2 linked regions of the Drosophila melanogaster genome follow. The protein of the gene in region 1 interacts with the protein of each later gene in a pairwise test. Each region holds a gene or a part of one and is shown on either strand. Other genes may lie near its edges.

Region 1 (7,926 bases):
ATATGCTTCACATATTTTCGGGCTGTAAATAACAATTTCTTACATTGCACAATAACAGAATAACGAACCGAATCATTGTGAAATATGTGAGTTAAGTAAATAATGTTGAGACTATGGTTTCAAAATCTAAACATTTCTTACCAGAACTAACCTTTTTAACAATGGTCTTATAGATATTATATTTATAATATTTTCCTTATCAATGGACGGGGATCCCCTCGAAAATACAGAATGACAAACTTGAGATATTGCCCTCAACACCCTTTTGCATCTATTCTCATTGTTGACTGAGTCTATCATAACAAGAGAGAAATATATATATATAAAATCGTATAATCTTAAGTTATAATAGGCTCTTATCTGAAAGACAAGGGCTCTGATTGAAAGTTCTTATCATATTCTCGGTTGGCTCGCATGAAATTTTTTATCACGAATTAATTTAAAAAGCCGTCGATAGTGCCAATGTAAACAGTTCTGTGAAAACCATGATTGCGAATGGACAACAAACCATGTGGCGCCATCGCCACCTGGCCACTATCCTCCTGCTGGCGGTGTGCGTTTCCCAAGGATCTGGATTAGCCTTGGACCAACCCGAAGGACGCGTTGTGGGTGGAAAAGCGGCGGCGGCCAATAGTGCTCCGTATATAGTGTCCATGCAGTACGGAGGAACTCACTATTGCGCCGCTAACATCATTAATTCCAACTGGCTGGTAACGGCTGCTCACTGCCTGGCCAATAGGAATCAAGTACTTGGAAGCACCCTGGTGGCTGGAAGCATTGCGGTGGCCGGAACAGCGAGCACAACACAGAAGAGGCAAATCACCCACTATGTGATCAATGATCTTTATACCGGCGGAACTGTGCCCTATGACATCGGATTGATTTACACGCCCACCGCCTTCACTTGGACCGCTGCAGTGGCTCCGGTGAAGCTGCCATCGTCCGGCGTGAGGCCAACTGGAAAGGCTGACCTCTTTGGCTGGGGCAGTACTAGCAAAACGAATAGCCCCTCATATCCGAAAACCCTCCAGGAGGCGAAGAACATACCCATCATAAGCCTCGACTCCTGCGCTGCGGCACTTGGCTCTAAGGGTCAGGATGTGCACACCACGAACCTGTGCACAGGTCCTCTCACCGGCGGCACCAGCTTTTGCACCTCGGACTCCGGTGGTCCGCTGGTCCAGGGAAACGTTCTAATCGGCATCGTGTCTTGGGGAAAACTTCCATGTGGTCAGCCCAACTCTCCGTCGGTGTATGTCCAGGTCTCCTCGTTCATAACATGGATAGCAGCCAACCAAAAGAAATGAATTCTGGAGTATAAGATAGTATCTGAATAAAGAAATACTTATGAGATTGCAGTATCACGTGCTTATTATAAATGACAACTTTTAGAGTCTTTAAAATCATGCATTAATTGATTGTAATGTATCTTTGAAAGAACTTAAAAGCATTTATATACATTTTGTTATATGTCGAATTATCTTATCTAATAAATAAATAGAGCTAGTTTAAGAAGATGGTAACCAATGTATATATATATTTTATAACAAAGTAAATCAGATAAGACTATAAATGTTTTAGATATCCAACTTATATGTGAACCCAATTTTAACTAGATAAAGCTTTCCAAGAAGTAGCAAAAATAAAGATATAAAAATAAGCTTTATCTTTTCTTTTGTTATAAAAAACTGAATATAAACCAAAAAAGGGTAATGTCAACAAGATGTTATCTTTACCAAGAAATATCCGGATTAACTTTCCATTTTTCTATTGCACAACTATTCTGAGCACTATACTCCCCAGGGAACTTAGCACTTGGAATGAGTTTTGCTTTTGAATCCGTCTCACTTTTGGTGTCAGCACGTCCAGATTTCATTTCATCCCAGACACTCCTCTTCAATCGCTGTTTTTATCAATCATATTGATCGGAATGTTCTTATTGGGAAACTAATTGCTCGGTAAGTTGCTGGACACGATCGCAATCAGTTTATTGACACGACCAGTACATAATTGAATGGACATATCAATTTCCCATCACAATCACACCAGCAAAGCTTATTAAGTGCCTCCAAAAGAGCTTCGCAAGCAAGGCGGCCAAGAGCGCGGAACGTGGCCCAAAGAACGATGGCCAGAACACGCCCGCAGCTAATCAGGCTCTAATGGCGATAAATATTTCATTCTATATTATTCTGTTTCCATTCCCCCAACCAAACACGCCTCCAAGTCCCAGTCAAGCTGCCTGGCCAAGGAGTCAAGACAAAGCGACGACTCAACGGGAATGGACAGGGGAGTCCACCAGAACAGACCCACCGACGGACCCCCGCCTCCATCAGACGGACAAAATCTCCGACGCGATCGATGAAGACAAGGCTGATAAAGGAGTCACCATGCGGGAACCAGAGATGCCGCAGTGAGTCCACCCGAATTTCGAAAAAGTGGAAGTTGCATTTCTTATAGAGAGTAATCAATTGCGATCATTTGCAGCATATTATGAAGAACAAGTTTTAAAACTCAAAAAATTTGTTTAGTATAAGTTTAAAAAGAGTTTTTAGTTTATAAAAGTGAATACAAACTTATGTTGCATTCACGATGTCATCTCCGTTCTGAACAAAAGAAATTCATCTGAGCAAAGTTGAGGCAAGGCCAGATCACTGTGCTTCCTTCGCAATCTTTGTGTTATGAATCGAACAGATTTATGCAACCTGGCGAACAACATGGGCGGCTGCTCCTCCGTCGCCAGTCTCCAGATCCCTGCTCCCTCAATCGTTTGCTGCGTTCCTCCGCCGACGAGGATGAGGATGAGGATGCGACCGCGACATTTGGCTGCGCCATTATGAGTAATGGAGTAATGCCTGGAATTATTTACTTGGGGGCTTTATTGGCGTCGGCATTTGGCATCGGAATGAATGTCTGTGCTTTATGGTCTTTTGTGTATATACACACGCAAGTATATATTATTATATTTTTTCATGTCGGGATTCTGCGGTCGGAAAGACTGCGAATGGTTTTATAATTGGTAAAGGGAAGAACGGATTATTGAAATGAGTTAGATATGATTGGGCCATAAATAAGAGGTATAGATTGCATTGTTGATTCAAATAAAGTGACTAATGTGTTTGAAAAAATAGTAAATAGTGTAAAATATACAAAATATGTGTGAACAAATAAATTCTTGTCTTAACAAATAATATTCATATTTGCATTATGCTAGGTATAATTTTGTGTACATGAAGTTGAAAGTAAAGCCCCGCAAAAGTTACACCATTATTTTAATCACATGTCACGGACAATTATGTGTGGTGTCAATGAAGGCAGCTTGTCACTTTCTAGTTCATTCAACTCTTTAAATAAACTATTGAAGGTTTTTATTTTTCAAAAAAATAGCCCGTCCGAACTTTTATCTTTGCAATCGTTCCGCGAACTTTGGCCAATCTTATGGACAAAATCTAAAGCGAAATCTAATTTTTAATTGGCCAACAAACTGCGGACAAGCGACATTTCATGCTTATCGGCAGTACAACCAGCAATTAATCTCCCTTCGGTGGAATGGAGAAGACTCTCTTAGCAGATGCTCTCTTTCTCTCGAGAGAATATATCTCTTTCGCTGCAGCTTTCGAACGAGAATCTTTGGCGCGCTCGAACAGAAAAAGAATTCAGTATGCAGACAACTTTCTTCCGAATGCTTTTCTTAAAAGCAACTCGAACTTGTTGCTGAGCCTCAGTTTGAAAACAGCACGCGACGCGTTCAGAACGAGAAAACCATACGCGCAAGGTGGATATAAAAATAATAATAAAAAAAAAACACAATAAATGACTCTTCTTCGAAGACTCAAAGACTAGAAGACACTTCTTGTGGTCAACGATGATCGAACCCTTGAGTGGCAGTGGTGAAGTGCAAGCATAAGCAAACAAACAAATCAATAATAAACTAAGCTGTGGAGTTATATTCAATGCTTTTTTGTTTTTGTGCCCCACAGTTAGAGTGGATATAGGAAAACCTCAGACTGGACAGGTATGTGAACTTGCGGAAAACTCCAGGAATGCATCATTGGGAATTCTTGGTTCGTTCTTGGGGTCGTTGTTGCGGTTCTTTGTGGCCTCGCCGCCAGCTCTTTCCACACTTTGGGCATGCTAAAATTTAATAAGTGTTTTCCTCAAACCGTTTTTCCTGTCGCCTCTTTTTCACGCTTTTTTTTTCTACGTAGCTGTTCTTGTTGTTCAATTCTGTGATGCATTACCGTAGGGGGGGGGGGTGTGGTATATGCAGTTGGCACGTCCCTCTTTGCCGCCACCAACTTGGCAAATTCTTGCGGCACATTTCATTTATCTGTTTCGCTCCCGCTGCCAAAAGCATTTTCCGCGTCGTGTCGTGTTAACGGTATTGTTTACATGGTTAATAGAACCCACCGACTTGGTGGCCAGATAAATAAATACTAGTAGACACACACAAAAACCTACAGCCGGAGCCAAAAGACCATGCTTCAGTGCACTCGTTCTTGCGGCCGCAGAGACAAAAGCAAAATCACACACAATCGAAAGACTCAGGCAACGAACTGACTCCACAGGCAACGATTCCTGTGTGTTGATCTAGGTGTAATGAGTGCGGTAAAACAACATATACATTTTAATTCGTTTCTTGGAAGACTCTAATAATATTATCAAAGATTTCTGCACTTCTTTGCGTATTTATCAAAGCGTAAAGAGAACATGAAAATTCATATTTTATTCAATACAAACGAAAGACTGAGGCAACGAACTTTCTGGTAATAAAAAGTAAATGGTGTATTTATTTAATTGAATTAGAAATGAAATTCCCAACTGTATAATGTTAATCAAGTTATTCCGATTCCCAGCAAATCTATGCTAATTAAATAATGCTTACCAGCTTGCGCAGACCAATTAAAGAAATAGTCGATGACAGTAAAAGAAGCAGCCACCAAATTGCTTATTTATTAGCCAAAAGAAAAGAAAATATCTGGAAACGGCATGCTAATGATGTAAACTAAGCATTTAACTGTTAAGATGCCAGCAGCGGCAGGCAAACATAAAAAGTCGCATCACTGGGGCACACTGTGAGAAAAGCGGGGAGGTTCAATTGGGGCAAGACGAACCCAAGGTAACGCCGACAAAAAAAAAACTTAGGCGACTTCCTAAGACAAATCAAAGCCGTTACAATGGTCGCACAGCCGCAAAAAACGCACTCGGAATTGGAAAACCGGGGAAACCAGAAGGGAGAAGACCGAGAGTGTGGAGATCAAGGGAGAGAATGTAGGTTGCACTGGCTTTAATTACACTGCACAAAAAAGGAGGGTCAACAAATAAAAGATAAATATAACTTAGAAAAAAATCACCGTCGTACAAGTTTTGGGCAAAGTTTGTCCATCCTAAAATGGGAATATAAAATAAGATATTATTATTATTTATTAAATGTAATACTTAGTAAAATAAATCTATCTTTCGGCTTAATACAAATAAATCTTTCAAAATACATTACGTAAGAAAAAATGTGGATTTCTAAGATCTACCTTGTCATTATTATATACTCGTCTTTGTTTCCTGTGTATAAATGTTCAGAGTAATCTTTTGCTACTCAGATACTGACTGTGATGTTGTTCTTACTTTTTTGTTTAAGAAATTACCGTTTTATGTTGACAAAAAGAAGCAAGAAGAAGCAGCTGCGCTAGAAGAAGGAGAACTGGCTTAAGGTTGAGCTGGGAGTTTGAGTTTGTGTTTGGCTTCTGTGTGATTACAGTACCGCTCCTAATGATCATCATTAGATAGCCAAGGGTTTTTTTCTCTTCCATCCAGCTGCTGCGCCGATTCTACTGCTTCTTCTTGCCACTTCTTGGAGCTTGACGTGACGACATGCAATCGCAAAGAAGGTAGAAAGAAGAAGCTATAAGAAGCGGTAGAACAACACCAATAATATTTGATAATGCAAAGCGGAAGCTATAAAACTCGTGTGTAAGACGACATTTTACGTTAGACGGCCATTAAGGCGAGCCAAAAGAGAATTTGCTAATTGCCTGCAATTGAAAATGTTAGTGAAAGAACTCAGGGAGCTAAAGGAAATCTACGAGCTTGGGTACGAAGACGGGAAGAAAGCTTCATTAGGCTATATAATAATGTCTTTAACTGGAAGTCGAAATACACGACAATTATATGGTGCATAAATGACCTATATTCTATGTAAGTCTCAACTTTGAGAAACTGAAGAAAATTTTAAAAATGTTTGTCAAAAATCGTAGAATAATAAATTCATTTTATTCACTTACGCAATTAGTTGTAAAAAATAATAATCTTACCAGAAATTTGTAGAGCCTAGTCGAGTTAATGAGCTTACAAAGCCACTTGATATCTTTAAGGTATCAAAAGAACTTCCTGACTGCCCTTTGGTCATCTCGATAATCTGACCAAAGTGTGGTGTGCCACAAATTCGATTATCAGGGCCGGGAGCTGAGCTTCGACCGCCATCTCAAGGTCGAAAAAAAAAGTATCTTGTATCTGGTATCTGGTATCTAAACTCTCCTTTCAAGTGGAGCGCTGTAGTCCAGCCCACAGTTAGCGCGGCCACATTAGCAACATCTGATATGCCGAATAGCACTGGGCACTTAAGGAGAGGCCCCATTACCCGGCCAAGAACAACAAAAGCTGGCCCGCACGTAATCTGATATTGCAACGGTGAGGCAAGCAGCTGAAAAAGAGTGCACGTATAAAGAAGGCAGCGAAAAAGCAAAAACCAAACCAAACTTAGCCTGGCCATATGAGGAGAATCTCTTTCTTTTGTGTCGCCACTATCCGAATAACATCAGCGAAATACACGGAAAATAAGCAGACTTATGGAAATTAGATATACCTACCCCTATAAAAGGGTGTTGCTGGTCCATATATGAGGTTTATATTATGCAAAATATGGGCTTCGTAATTAATCTATTAGATTGTTGTTTATGTAACCAAACATTTTAGTACCTAGCTTATATATAAATGTATTTTATTTGGACACTTAGGTGTCATTTTTCCCATAGATATTAATACAATTTAATGGGGAGATATAAATTTCCTTTTTATGACCTTTGTTCTATGCTTCAATAAAACGTAAACCCATGTGCTTCCTTGACTTCTGTCGGCACATTTTTTGTAACGCATTGTCAGATTAATTGCCACAGGAGGAGGAATTTTAAAAGCCATCTATTCCCTGCTAATTAACTTCGGACTCCTCACGGCGACGTGCTGCAAGAACAGAGTCGAAGATAAAACATTTTATGGCTCTCTTAGGTGCTTTCCCCACCTGCAGCACGCCCCATTCCAACGCCAGTTGAAGTACAAAATACAAAAACCAAACCCTGGGCCACTCTAAGCCAAAGTCGGGCCTTGGGTTATTTATCAGAGCTGTCAGCGGGCCATAAATTCCGACTTTTGTCACTACCATTTATGGCCTAAAGAGTTAACCAATAAAAAAAAAAAACACAATTGGCTGGCGCAATGCGTTATATAAGCACTATGTCTGCATCTGATCTAACGGTGCTTGGCTCTGGGTTCTTTTGGGGTTCTTTTGGATTCTTTTGGAGTCTCTGGATTTTCTTGGGCTGCCCGGTTTCCTTGTTTACAAGACACCTTGACAAATGTGCCCGGAAAGAGGAAAACATTCGAGACGGAAAAACAACACGAGTCAGAAATTTGCATGGCAACTGAAATGGAAATGGGTGGAGTGAGAAGCAGCCAGGAAAAAGAAAAAAAAACAACAGCGATCACAACTCCATTGCAGTTTTATGGTGCATTGTCTTGCAGCGCTAGAAAGCTGAATAAAAAAAAAAGAAAGGAATCGCCAATTGTAACAAAAGTCAGAACAAGTTTGCCACAAACTCTGGCCGGTCGTTGGCTTTGGCCCACAGAGATGCGCGTGTGATGGAATTATGATCATGTTTC
Region 2 (6,142 bases), 2.3 Mb from region 1:
TAAGATGTTTTGTGAAAAAGTCTTTCAATCTTGAAAGACTTGACTGGAGGCATGCATAATTTGCTTATATCCAGTGGCTACTGTTCCGATCGAGTCTATGGGAGGCAATTACGAGTGCTGTGATTACGCGATACGCTCCATTATTAAGCGTATTTGTCGGCTCAGTTCAAAAATGGCCACACAATCAATTACAGTCACCTTTTCATTGATTCCCAGCTGAGGCTGTCTTTGAACAACTTTTTCCTGTCTGCACACACTCGAAATGTTACTCTGTACTGTATAAATTAATGAGCATCCTTAATTGTTCATATTAACTAATGTTTAAGTGCGAATAAAACTCACTTGTAGTTAAGTTATTTAATGGGTTCTAAGACTTGCACACATATGTTAACTATATGTATGTATAAGCAAGAGGCACAAAATTTCATAAAATATCCCACAGCACATTCATATAAAATTTGATTTGCATTCGAAATATGTAAGAAATTCCCCATAAATACCTGACTAGCTGAGCAAATAATTAGGGGACAACAAGCGATCACAAATTGCCAGAAGGAGAGGATATATAGGCAACCTGATAAATACCAACATGTCCAGACTTAGCCATTAATAACTGGTAAGCTCAGCAATGTTGTTGCGTTGCTAACTATTTTTGTTCACAGACAGCAGAGGCAGCAAAAAAAAAGCGTTTGTAATTATAACGCAAAAAGGCCGCGACAAACTCATTTGTCCATAGTGAAAAATTCACATTACACAGCGTCGCTGCCTGCGGAGTTATTGACATGGAGAGAGGTGAAGATTGGGTAGATGCCATTTGAGGCCTGGTCAAGATGGTCAGTGGATGGTCGGTGGATGGTGGCAAAATTGCCATGACAACAAATCAAGCATCATAATGTGTCAAGCAATGCATCAAGTGGCCCAACTGGAACGTCAAGGCAGCTGCGATGAAGCAAACGCATTACAACGTAATTGACGAGAATTGTCAACACTCCTCGGGACTCCAGAGGCATCGTAGATGGCATCGGGATGCCTTGGCATGTGCTCATCCTCTCCATCCTCCCCTGGATGTTCCAACACCTCGAACCCGGCCACTTACTTTATTTATCGCAATTACCGATTACAGCTAACTTTATGGCTTGCCAACCAGTTTCTTGTCCAATTGCAATTGCTGCGAATTGTCTTAACGCATTTTCTTGCGTCTTTTTCGCCTGACGATATTTTATTGTCATTGCCTCGGATGTAAGTAGGTAGTGCTGGAAAGCTAAGTATAGAAATTGTATATAGAGTGAGAGATTCAGTAATGAGTATTGTGAATAAAATTAAACAGGTTCTTTCATAGCAATATAATGTTTAAATTATCATTCAAAGTAAAATTTAACAACATTATATATGAGCCTAAAGGATAATGTCTCTTTTTCAGATCATGTAATTGCTTTTAGTCATTAACTTATTCAATTAGTTTGCCAGCTTGCAGTTAATTTATAAAATGCTTTCGCTTAGTATATTATGTTTTCCCCTGTGTGAAGAGTATTCAGCTTATTAAGAAGTCCAATTAAATGACGTTCCATAACTTTTGCAAACAATATGCCTCTTTTACTAGCCACAATCGCGATTAAACTCGATATCCGTACTCAGCTTCGGTTTCGATTCAGTTTATGTTTCGCTTGGCAGTGACAGTTGATGGGATCCTGTCAAATGAGTATCTGTCAACAAGCCCTCAACATTGTCGTTTTCAATTTTCGGCAGGATACCAGTGAAGGATATTTATGGTCGCTGTGGTGCTGTGCGAAAAATTATCGAGGCATTTTGATCGTATTTCTTAAGCTCGTTACAGTGGGGAACAATTTCGTATGCGACGCATAATGAGTTGCAACTTGCGACTTGCAACGAGTAGAAGTGAATGTTAAAGTTGTCCCTTCGTTGTCTGCGGTTGTTGATCTGCTGCCGTTCCTGCTGCTGCTGCTGCTGTTGATTATCCCTTGACAGGGCATCAAATGCGAAAACGACCGCCCAATTTACATACAATGCACATCAATCGAATGGGCTACAACTACAGTCCTGTCACTGCCACCGGGCACCTTTGTGGCATCATCGGTTTTCCCCATCGCCTCCTATTTTTTTTTGTTGTTGCTGTCCTGTATTTACCCTTTTACCCAGCCTTTTGGGCCCGGCAATCAAGCGTACTTGTTGTACGACTCCAGCAACTGGCCAACCGGCCAAAACGACCGACCAACCGACCAACAACTTTAGCGGCCATGACACAAAGATTGACAGCATGTCGTCGCTGTTTGGAAGCCTGATTGACATGAGTAATCAAGCAGCCGAAATGTGCCCACAAAACGCAGCCAGCAATGACACTGACAACGAAACCAGCCAACCAAACCACGCAGCCTTTCGTTTGCCCCTTTGACTGACAACGATGAGTCGACAGCGACGGCAACTGGCAACTTGCAACTTGCGACTCTCAACTTGCGGCAGCAACATTGCGGCTCTGTGCCACGTTCAGACCACTGCCATAAGGGCAATTTCGATGATGAAAGAAGGGGGCTTTCACTGCTCCCAGATCTCGACTTTTGGATGCATAAGCCCAGTTACCATAATCAGTATCAATTAAACCACAACTGTTGCATAAAGTTATCTAAACACAGCAGAAGGAGCATAATTTAAGGCATTGAGGGTACATAGAGGGTACCAAAAGTAAAAATAGTAATAAATACTAATAAATACTTAGCATCATATAACTGATGGTCCTTGAATCTGTTAGCCATGTTCTTCTATCCCTTCTTTCTGAACATTCTCATCCAATTATTACATTCCCAGCTAATTCACGCATCAAATGCAAATTGCATTCAAGTATGTTCCATCCAGCCACGTAGCTCTTCTTGCCAGACTTGAGCACTTTCAAAAATCCGTATCCTTTGCGGATTACAAAACAGAACCAATATCCCCATTGTCAACTCGAATGTGGCCTTTGATGAAGGCGACACGACATTGACAGACGGTAGCCGATTGACTGCTGACAGGCGGACTGGCGGGACAACAGTCCACCGAAAGTTGGGATCCCGATCGGGATCGGGAAACGGGACTGGGATTGGGATGGGATGGGATTGGAATTGGGATTGAGGAGAGCAGACAAGCCTTTCCGATCTGGCCAAAATGAAGAAGCCGCTGCCGAGGGAGAACTGCAAACTGCAATTCTGATGACTTTTTGTCAGGCCTGATTGACGTCAACGACTCGAAGACGTTTGTCAGGCATATAAATCTTTTGGCTCGTTTGTTTCTTGGCTATGCCCACATATACCAATCCCAATCCAAATCCGACTCCAAGCCGGGGGATTATAATGGCCGACAACGACAGCGATGCGATGCATAAACAATGCCACTTTAAATTGGCAATTGTTGCGACAGTAAATTTTACAATGAATTACTACACTGCCATTCTTTTCTTTCCTCATTTTTATGTTTATTTATTTTTTTTTTTTACGGATTTTCGAAACAACAGCTAAATAAAAGGGTCGAACTGGCAGTCGAATATAATTGCACGTCTCTGGGGCGAAAGTACGACCTGATCTTGAACTGCAAATTGGGGCGTAACTAAAGACCGATTTACCAATTCTTTTTTGAAAGTTTAACCTATGGGTTCGATTTATTCCAACTATAAAAAGGCCGGGTTAAAGGTGTTTTAGGTACAGTTCACTTTGGTCTGGAGATCAGACAACAGTAGTCTAGCTAAGATTAACTCATAAACTAGCTGCGGTACCATGGCTCAAAAGGTGAGTTCAGCAAAAAAGGATAACAACTAAAGCAAATTATTATTCACCTCGATTTTCCTTAGTTTTTCATCGCCTTTGCCCTCTTGGCCATTGCGGCTATTCGGGCAGCTCCTTTCCATGGCCACGAACACCACGGTCATCACGGTGGAGCCACCAGTCATGCCTCCGTGCATCTAACATCGCACGACGATCATCACGAGGAACATCACGGTCATCATCACGACCATCACGGGCATGATGATCACCATGACTCCCATGCTGAGTATGACTTCCAGTACGGCGTCAAGGATCAAAAGACTGGGGATGTGAAGTCACAGAGTGAGTCACGACATGGCCACACGGTTACCGGACACTATGAGTTGATCGATGCCGATGGCCACAAGCGAACTGTCCACTACACGGCGGACAAGCACAAGGGATTCGAGGCTCATGTCCATCGCGAGAAGCTCCACGATCACCACCAGGCGGAGCACCATGGCCATGGACACAGCGGCTACGAGGGCGGACACGTTGAGTTCGAGGAGCACTCCTCGCAATCCGGACACGACTATGGCCACGGACACGAGGAGCACGGTCACGGTCATGGTCATGGACATGGTCACGGAAGCAGCTCCCACAGCTATTCGCTGAAACAGGAACACGGACATGGGCACGGCCACAGCCACGGTCAGGATCATGGTTTCGAGCACGGACACGGTTACCATTGAGTTGACCCCTAAGCTATACAATTGTTTATCAATCGTTTATTGAACTCTTACCAAATACCTATTGTTGTTATACCAAAATAAATCAGGCAAATATTTTCAAAATTGAAATAATTATTTGATTTGAAATGGACAAGAAGTGTAACTAAAGTTTCCCTAAAACCTATTAAAATCGAATTATAAAGTTTCTATACTTACCAACGAACTATTAACTTAAAAAAGAAACAAATCACAGTAGATAGCTCTTTTCGATACATTTGGAATATTTAAACATTTCAAATTATTAGTGAAATTTTAGCATATTTAGCATATGGTGATTTATGAATTGAATAGGCAGGCATTCGCGACTCAACACCAAGACGAGAATCGCATAGACCGTAATTTGGGTCAGAATCAGTAATGTGCGACACGACAGGCGAGATATATCACAAATTCGATTATTATAAATCATATTTGTACAGTTTATCCATAAATTAGCCCGCATATCTATCTATTCGCTGGCTATTTCAGGTGGCTGAAACTTGTATTTTTTATGCAAGCATACACACATATTGTATATATGCGTGCACATGGCGATTTTTTATGGGCGATTTCTTTTCACTTCTAGTGGTGGCAATCGGGTTTTCGGAGTTGAAAGTCCTTTATTCATCCGCGCACACCCATAAATCAAATATATATATCTCCCTAGCATTCGCGAGTGCGTGTGTTTTTGTTTGTTTGTTGCTTTCCCCTCAGCCCGAGTTGGCTACAATTTGTTTAACAGACAGGCTCGGCACATCCTTGCGTTATCCTGTTGCCCTCGTTTGTTGCTGTATTACAAATGACTGTGGAATATTTATAAGCATCATAAATTTAATTTATGTCGCCGCTGCGCCCGCCGCGTTTATTGTGCGCATAATAAACGCTCCACAAAAATCCCTTCTCGACCCAACTCGACCGGGACTCCAGTTGCCTCTCGCTTCGTGTAATTTATTATTTTTATACGTTCCATGTGTTTGTGCGGCACGCACTTTCTACATTATGTAATATACGAGATATAGTGCGAAAATTGCAACAGCTATTACTTATATTTATTATGGCACTTTTTGCCGGATTTTTGTGCTTCTTGTGTTGCAAATAATGATTAATTGAGGTTCATTTTTTCATATTGAGAAGCTCAATTTGTAGGTCAGAAAAACAGAAATTATACTAATAATTTGTTAAATAAATCATTTGAGTAGATATGCGCAAATATTGTAAAAGAAGCTTTCAATTAAGAAATAATACGTTTAAAAATGCTTCATTTCAATAATGAAAATATTCCCAATCAAAATAAGTATCAGTATATTAAGATTATATATTATCTCATTGCGATTTCTGATTATAAAAAAGAAATTATCAACTGACATTTAAGGAAATTATGCGTTTTGTATTTTAATTTTCCTTAATCACGATCCTTAATCAATGCGATTCGACACTTAATGAGCTAAAGTGAAAAATTTACATGCCACCTAATGCAATTGAATCATAAATTTTGTTTCGGAAAAAATTAAATTGAAATTAATTAAGCTAAGCTTCAAGGGAATGTGAAGTCGCTGTTGGCACAGGTCGTAAATTCACTTGATTACGATTTATTTGAAATGAAATCAAAGCAATAAAAAACACAGTTGCCGAAACGCAAAACGG

What was found. Proteins that work in one complex are often made in the same cells at the same time.
Region 2: the proteins of CG17211 (region 1) and Cpr35B interact in a two-hybrid assay, tested with the Drosophila melanogaster proteins (one large-scale study listed by BioGRID).

What each region holds. Positions count from the first base shown.
Region 1 is NT_033779.5:12,110,639-12,118,564, forward strand, and holds the start of CG17211 (uncharacterized protein), read left to right. Parts: upstream 1-3,721; 5' UTR 3,722-4,012; intron 4,013-7,926. Other genes in the region: Phae2 (phaedra 2), read left to right, coding at 510-1,307.
Region 2 is NT_033779.5:14,422,751-14,428,892, reverse strand, and holds Cpr35B (cuticular protein 35B), read left to right. Parts: upstream 1-3,703; 5' UTR 3,704-3,761; coding exon 3,762-3,773; intron 3,774-3,835; coding exon 3,836-4,480; 3' UTR 4,481-4,578; downstream 4,579-6,142.